Schizosaccharomyces pombe: one gene and its partner. Each later gene encodes a partner of the first gene's protein in a complex. Each region holds a gene or a part of one and is shown on either strand. Other genes may lie near its edges. The genes, in order: mtr3 and rrp42.

Region 1 (3,792 bases):
CGATATAATCTCGAACCTTGGCATAGTAGGTATTCGGCTCTCGCAATAATAGAGCTGCTGCCTCTCCATTTAGAGGGTCCGACGCATTAGGATAACGGAGTAGCTGTGGAAGAAAAACCTCAAAAATATTAATCATATCAAACATTGGAGACCAAGTTTGATTTATCACGTCCAAGCAAACACTTCCACTAAGCTCATCGATATTGGGATGAAATATACGATTTACAAATCCAATACTTGGAGATTTCCAAGGATACTCACTTGGCAGTTCAACATGAACTTTCCATATTCCACCTGAGTAAGGGGTTTCAGACGGTCCATGGAACCTAACGTAAAATTCTTGCATATTATCATTGACAAGAGTTACCTCGTAATCACTCATCAGCAGCTTCATAACGTCCGTCTCAATTCTGCGCCTTGGGCTCGACATTTTGATTTTTTATAGTTTTATTTCAAAACTAAAAAAGAACTCAATAATTTTAAGCTAGTGTAGTATTCAAATACGGTAATTTGCTGCAATAAAGGCAAATTCGCAAATTCAGCAGTTTTCGAGTAATTTTCAATAAAATCAAATTATTTTGGACTTTTGGAAAGATTCTTAGCTTCCGTTTTAAATGGTTCTATCCTATTGTCCGTGAATATATCAAATTTTTAAAAGCAACAACTAATAATCATCAATGACCTAATTTAAATGAAAGCAATTTTATTGTATAGAAGAATCCCCTCTTTATCGTCCTTCTTATTGTTAAATATATTTTAATTTACAAACGAGGCAATTGAGCATAAGTTTGGCTATGATGAAGACGCGGAATTTCGCTGATTTGGAGGTTATAAGAAGCAGGTAACAGTATGTGAGTAACAATGATTCTAGTACTACCAAGATGCTTTCGTCTCAATGCAGCTTGATAAATTAGTATCAAATATATGTATTAATAAAATCTCAGCATTTGTTTTGTTCTATTGGAATCGATAAATAGACTGGAAAAAATTGGAAAGAGTTAATCGTTTGGCTACTGAATATATTCGCGAGTGATAAAAACTAAGATCTTTAATTTAATATTTACTCGTATTTTTCATAACAAACGTAACTTGCGGATGGCCAAGCTGATTTCAAAGAAGAAAATCTACTTAGGGAAGTCATCTGCTTGTTTGTCGAGAAAAGATAGCGTCTCCCTTCAAATGTGTGTTAAGGAAAAAAAGGCAAAACTTGAGCATTGCCAACTAATAGAAGAGAATTTTAAAAAGAAATAAATTTGATTATGTAATTTGTAAAATTGGTATAAATATTAGCCATCAACAGAATATTATTATAGAGGTAGAATTCCAATATCTAAGGATCTTCGGATTTCGACTTCTCTAGTAGCAGTGCATGATTAATTACTAACCGAGTATCTTTGGCATTCTTTATGCATTTTTCCGTCAAAAACGAAAGGCGACTCGGAGAGCAAGTGCCTCTTTCCCATACTTGAGTAACGTGACCAAGAGAAGCCATGTACCCCATAACTACAGAACCTTTAGCAGCCCTTGCACGCTCATCCACATAATCAGGATCAATCCAATATTCATCCGTATTGGGATTAAATAATACACTCGAGCCCGTCACCAAATCTATGCAGTCGATGTTAGCATCAGCTATTGCACTTGATGCGCAACTTATAGCAGCAGCCAATGTTGCTAATGCACCGTCACTTTCAATCACTTGAATATAAACGTCTATAGAACTTTTCGGATACAAATGCAGTAATATACTTGGAGAAATTGCTGCTTCAATCATTTGGGAATAGCTTTTTTCTTCGACGGTTTGTACATGTCCCTGACGAACAGAAGTAGAAAATGGGGATAATCTAAATTCACAATTCAACTTTGCTGATGAACGAAAAGCAAAAGTCTTACTAGGTCGAGGACCAGAGACTGTGCATGCAATTTTTATTTTTTCTGATTCAAAATAACTGCTACCGACAGCTTTAGTAGCCCACCCTAATTTTAGATCTAATTGTCAGTGAAAATGTTAATAATCGGTATCTTACATATTTTTCGACATCTGTCAACATCACGAGTCCGCGTGAAAACAGGTTGTTCTGGCTCTTCAAAATAAGGGGGAACGGATACACTCGGTCCATACACTCTCTTTCTATCTGACATCGATTTATAGAGTATTTGTTTTAACCTTGATGTACCGTTAAGAAAACAATACAGAAGCAGCCTGGATTTTCAGTGGTGGCTTCGCGTTTTGGGATGACGCGTTTGCATGCCTTAATATATATAACGATATTGTTTGATTCGGTGTATATATGACATATAGAAAGCAATTTTATCGCATCTAAAAGATTTTTGTAATGACTAAGCGTTTCAATCAGTAAGCTGGAAAATAAAAATGCTTTTAGAATAATGGTGCAAAATTTTTTTTTATCCAGCCAGCATACTTCAAGTGCGCGCTCTTAAATTTAATGAGTAATAAATTGTTAAGCATGTGTAACGAAAGAGCTCGCTATTTGAACATATAAAAACACTATATTATAGCCTACGTATGACTCTCCTCTGCCAACACCACGTTTCGTAATGAGTGTATGTAATTTGTTTAAATGATTCAAGTATTTTTCGCTTCTTACTAACATTGCAAAAGAATAACATGAACATTGATCAAACGGATCAAAATACTATCGATGAAGGGCTTTACTCTAGACAACTGTAAGTTTTATTAGAAACATGAAGAGTCATTATTACCGGTGTTGATTTGGTTTAGCTTTATGTTTTTATATTCTTTCTTGTACTGAGCGCTTGCTAATTTATCTAAAGTTATGTTTTAGGCCATGAGGCTATGAAACAAATGAGTCAGTCGAATGTCTTAATCATTGGCTGCAAAGGTTTAGGCGTTGAAATAGCAAAGAACGTTTGTCTAGCAGGTGTAAAAAGCGTTACTCTTTACGATCCTCAACCTACACGCATTGAGGACTTATCATCACAATATTTTCTTACAGAAGACGATATTGGTGTTCCTCGTGCAAAAGTAACGGTATCAAAGTTAGCAGAGCTTAATCAATATGTGCCTGTTTCTGTAGTTGATGAACTTTCAACAGAGTATCTAAAAAACTTCAAATGCGTGGTTGTCACAGAAACTTCTCTTACGAAACAGCTAGAAATTAACGACTTTACACACAAAAACCATATTGCTTATATTGCTGCTGACAGCCGTGGTCTTTTTGGATCGATATTTTGTGATTTTGGTGAGAACTTTATTTGTACTGACACTGATGGAAATGAACCTTTAACTGGAATGATCGCTTCAATTACTGATGATGGAGTTGTTACCATGCTTGAAGAAACTCGTCATGGATTGGAGAATGGTGATTTTGTTAAATTTACCGAAGTGAAGGGTATGCCTGGTTTAAATGATGGCACTCCTCGTAAAGTTGAAGTGAAAGGTCCATATACCTTTTCTATCGGATCTGTTAAAGATTTAGGAAGTGCCGGTTACAATGGTGTCTTTACCCAAGTTAAAGTTCCAACCAAAATATCTTTCAAATCTCTCCGCGAATCGCTCAAGGACCCTGAATATGTATATCCTGACTTTGGTAAAATGATGAGACCTCCACAATACCACATTGCTTTCCAGGCCCTTTCAGCATTTGCCGATGCGCATGAAGGTTCATTGCCTCGACCCCGTAACGACATTGATGCAGCTGAATTTTTCGAATTTTGTAAGAAAATTGCAAGCACACTTCAATTTGATGTTGAACTCGATGAAAAACTAATTAAGGAAATTTCATACCAGGCAAGAGGTGATTTGGTTGC
Region 2 (4,566 bases), 340 kb from region 1:
CTGGAGATTATCGACCGCCCCGAAAAGGTAAACACAATGATCGCGCTCATCCACCTATTCATCCCGTTCAAATGGTTCACCGGTCAGCGCTTCCTTCCCAAGATCATTGGAAAGTATATGAGCTAATTACAAGAAGATTTTTAGCTTGTTGTTCTGACAATGCCAAAGGAGCCGAAACGTTGGTGCAGGTTAAAATGGAAGAAGAGCTTTTTTCTAAAAAGGGATTGCTAGTGACAGAGAAAAATTATTTAGAGGTTTATCCATATGAGAAATGGGAAAGTTCGGATCAATTACCAGAGTATAGACTTCACGAGGAATTCCAACCCCACATTCTCGACATGATGGACAGTTCAACGTCCTCCCCTTCCTATATCACTGAACCGGAGTTAATTGCCTTGATGGATGCCAATGGAATCGGGACAGATGCTACTATGGCAGAGCACATCGAAAAAGTTCAGGAGAGAGAATATGTCATAAAACGAAAAAAAAGGGGCCAAGGTGTAACTGAATTTGTACCAAGCTCTTTAGGAGTTGCTTTGGCAAAAGGCTATGATGAAATTGGTTTAGAGTGGAGTTTGACCAAGCCTTTCTTGCGAAAAGAAATGGAAGTTCAACTTAAAAACATAGAAAATGGCCAACTTAATCGGAATGTTCTAGTTCATATGATCCTTACCCAATTCCGTGATGTTTTTCATCTCACAAAGCAAAGATTCGATTGTTTAAAAAATGTAAGTCAAATTATCATTGTTTCCTACTTTTCCAATTTTCAAAATCCCATACTTTATTTATTAATCTTTTCATTTTATGGTTGCTAACAAATATAACGCAGAGTTGCAGAGTCTACCTTATGAGTCATAATGAACCGCAAACCTAGATAACCAGACCGCTCGTATACTTTTATTAACTTATTACCTTTCGTTTTTAAGCGTCGCATTAAGACCTTCATTTTTTTGGATAGCATCAGCCTTAAAAACATAAAACATCTTGAGTTGGATCCGTTAAGCAAGTCGACTTAATATCGTCAATGTCAGAAAAGACTAGCACAGTTACAATACACTATGGAAATCAGCGATTTCCGGTAGCAGTCAATCTAAATGAGACGTTAAGTGAACTGATTGATGATTTACTTGAAACGACTGAGATTTCTGAGAAGAAAGTCAAGCTTTTTTACGCTGGCAAGCGTTTAAAAGACAAAAAAGCCTCGTTATCAAAATTGGGTTTAAAAAATCATAGTAAAATTCTATGTATAAGACCACATAAGCAACAACGAGGTTCCAAGGAAAAAGACACGGTTGAGCCCGCTCCGAAAGCGGAAGCGGAGAATCCTGTATTTTCGCGTATTTCTGGAGAAATAAAAGCCATCGATCAGTATGTTGACAAAGAACTTTCCCCCATGTACGACAATTACGTAAATAAACCGTCGAACGATCCAAAGCAGAAAAACAAACAGAAACTAATGATAAGTGAACTACTTTTACAACAGCTTTTAAAATTGGATGGAGTTGACGTACTGGGCAGCGAGAAATTGCGTTTTGAACGGAAGCAACTTGTTTCTAAGATCCAAAAAATGTTGGATCACGTTGACCAAACAAGCCAAGAAGTGGCCGCATAGGCTTTATTATTTTTATAGACGTTACCATTTCATTTCCCTTAAATTATTCCCATCTACTATACTTGCTATATGACTTTGACCTAAACGAAATACAATGACCAACCATAGTAACCAAAAATACCGATGCATGCCTCTTCATGTAACAAAATTGATCCTGATTCCGTAACCCAAGTATTGCATTTATATATATATATAGAGAGAAAGATGCTATTATATAGGAAATGGAGACCAACCCAACCCAATTCATTTATGGAAGAATATCAAAAAATCCTAAACCCTTAAAAGATAGAATATCGCTGCTGGCGTTCAAAAGCTTAGTACCAACGGTAGACGCAGTCTCTAACAATTCTATATATCGCTCTACAGTTATTGCACGTCCAGTGGATGCGTAGCCTCCTCCAGTACCCACGACCCTGGTATAGCTAATAGCACCACTAGCTTGAACACCAATCGCATATGTCACTTGAGCGACACTTGATTCCTCAATTGTAGGATCAACAATTATCACTTGATCAATGCTACTAACCAAAATTATGACTGACATTAATTCTAACCCTTGCAAAGGTAATGCATTTTCCCATTCTGAATCAACATCGTATTCTTCGGAAGGCTCATATTTAGTAGATCCAATAGTGATGTCTGTGACATTGGGGGTAGAAATTTTAGGTAAACGTGTAGTCTGTAATGCTAAATAAGCAGCAAGACTTAAAGCTGAAAGAATGTTTTCGTAAGGAGACGAAGAAAGTATTACAACAGCATCTACGTGAATAATCCAAGCTTTAGATGGTGTAAATTTCAAATAGTCGACAGCAAGTGCGTTTAATAAATCCTGAAGGGCACTTGTAAGGAATGAAGGAATTTCATCGGTTTCACGATTCTGGATTGAAACAGATGGAGAACTACATAAAAAGTGTTAGCATACCAGCTTTTTTCAATTGATTCATATTGTTTGTTACGCCAAACAATGTTAATACGAACTCCAAATATCTCACGTACATTTCAACTGAAGCGACATATTTACCACCTTCGGGAGTAGCATCACCCACTTCTGCTTTTACACCTATGACTATCTCCACCGAAGACGCCCATTTAACTCTAGCAGAACCATTTGTACCAGGCAGAACATCTACTTGTCCAGAAAGCGGACGAAGCTGGTCTATCGAACGTCCATCATTCCGAATTGCAGGCTCAAATTCTGTTATTGATTTGTGTGTGTACGATAGTTCTGGTAATGACAATTGCATATGTTGGCTAATGGTATATCGTTTAAGAATAATTTTCCTTGCAATATTGCGTTGAGTTCTTGCGTATATTCTAAAGTTCGTTATGTATGCTACGCAGTTTTGTATCTGTTTAACGATATGCAAAACCGCGATAAGTTTTACATGTGATCTGTTATATTATAATACATAGGTATAACGGCTATGAGTCATTGAAAATATTGGTATATGTAGGTATTATTTATGATCTATTTCTGTTATTAGCTTCTGACTAAAGTGAGGAACGAAATTTAGTTTCCTATTTAAATTGTTGAACATATAAACTAAATATTTGTTTCAGATATCAAATGATTTGCCCCAATATCTATCATCTACGAGGCTATGTTTAAATAGAACATGTTCCAAATGTGATACACAACGTAGTAAATTATAGCGTTGTCAGTACTACTGCGACATGTTTTTTTATTAGCTAAGACTTGTTTATTGACACAGCAGAAAAGGCGCATTCTCTAAAAATTTCGCAAGTTTACATCAGTTGAAAATGCTTGGGCAGTTGGTGCTTCATTATAACCTATTCCTTCAAAATTTTGGATGCAAAACCTACGCTGAAATATTATTTACCACTTTGATGCAATTTGGCCGAGTAGCAATAAGATCATATCTGGTGTTCTGTTCGATAGCGTGCCATCTGTAAGTATCCATCCACAAGCAAGTTGGGCCTATTGGATCATGGATTTAAAGACGTTGTCATCGAAATAAAACTATCCAATTTCTTCTTTGATATAGAGCTAGTTCACTCGTTGCCTAGACCTATTTAGTTAAGGCTGTCTGTAAAATTTACCAAACGCATCAATTGTGTCCCTGATAACGTGCGTCGATTTTGGATTGTCAAATATGATTACAGTAGATCTGTTATTAGCTTGCAGTTCTCCTTTGTTCTCATGCGTAGATGTGATAGAATCCTCCCATTGCTATAGCTTCTAACTGAATTTAGGAACGTGATTCGATTATAAATTATTTATAATAATCGATTATTAAGGGATGTAACGGATTGTCAATATAAACAGACAGATCTCACTAGTATTTATACATTTGTGACACATGTTACAAGACGTAGTTCTCCATGATATACTGTACTATTGCAAACACGTTATTGAGATTAGCGTTTGACGCTAATCTGTCCTATAAAAAAACTACAAAAACTGTAGAACAAACAATAGCTATAAGACAATGTTTGGTACATGATATTTCATATTCATGATTTGAGATCATTTAGAGACTATGTGCAAAAATAAAAATTCAAAGAATGTATCCATAAGTGAAATTTGATTAAAGATGAGAGATAAAATTTATGGTGATAATCGCAGATTTTTTAAAACCAGGGAAGAACGTTCCAAGATAAAAAAATAAATTCTACCACCGATAAAGCAAGATTAAAAGTTAAATGATTAAAATAAAGAGCAGAAAATCTGTATGTGAAAGTAAAAACCGACAGAAAAGATTTATATACAGTCTAAGGAGTTGGAGATATAGGTTGGTAGCGTTGTTTGCTAAGACCAAATAATCCAAATCTCCTGCACAAATAAATTGAGAATAAAATAATGATAGTTAAAGCAACAGGAATCAAACCCAAATAAAGCCATTTGTAGTTTCCATTACCTAAATCCGGAGAGGGTTTAGGTACCGATGGTAAGCTGGCAAAGTCATTATTAAAGAAAGCAGTAATCAAGGTCT

The links.
Region 2: mtr3 (region 1) and rrp42 share a complex: the UniProt entries of both Schizosaccharomyces pombe proteins name them as parts of the RNA exosome complex.

The regions. Positions count from the first base shown.
Region 1 is NC_003423.3:3,886,137-3,889,928, forward strand, and holds mtr3 (exosome complex component mtr3), read right to left. Parts: upstream 2,182-3,792; 5' UTR 2,143-2,181; coding exon 2,028-2,142; exon of another isoform or gene 1,990-2,027; coding exon 1,331-1,989; 3' UTR 769-1,330; downstream 1-768. Other genes in the region: ubiquitin conjugating enzyme Ubc8, read right to left, coding at 1-430; uba1 (ubiquitin-activating enzyme E1), read left to right, coding at 2,560-2,565, 2,624-2,688, 2,797-3,792. UniProt on the Schizosaccharomyces pombe protein: Non-catalytic component of the RNA exosome complex which has 3'->5' exoribonuclease activity and participates in a multitude of cellular RNA processing and degradation events.
Region 2 is NC_003423.3:4,230,243-4,234,808, reverse strand, and holds rrp42 (exosome subunit Rrp42), read right to left. Parts: upstream 2,869-4,566; 5' UTR 2,857-2,868; coding exon 2,609-2,856; exon of another isoform or gene 2,543-2,608; intron 2,512-2,542; coding exon 1,860-2,511; 3' UTR 1,613-1,859; coding exon of another isoform or gene 1,025-1,612; 3' UTR 875-1,024; coding exon of another isoform or gene 830-874; 3' UTR 729-829; downstream 1-728. Other genes in the region: top3 (DNA topoisomerase III), read left to right, coding at 1-728, 830-874; BAG family molecular chaperone regulator Bag101, read left to right, coding at 1,025-1,612; kex1 (serine carboxypeptidase), read right to left, coding at 4,346-4,566. UniProt on the Schizosaccharomyces pombe protein: Non-catalytic component of the RNA exosome complex which has 3'->5' exoribonuclease activity and participates in a multitude of cellular RNA processing and degradation events.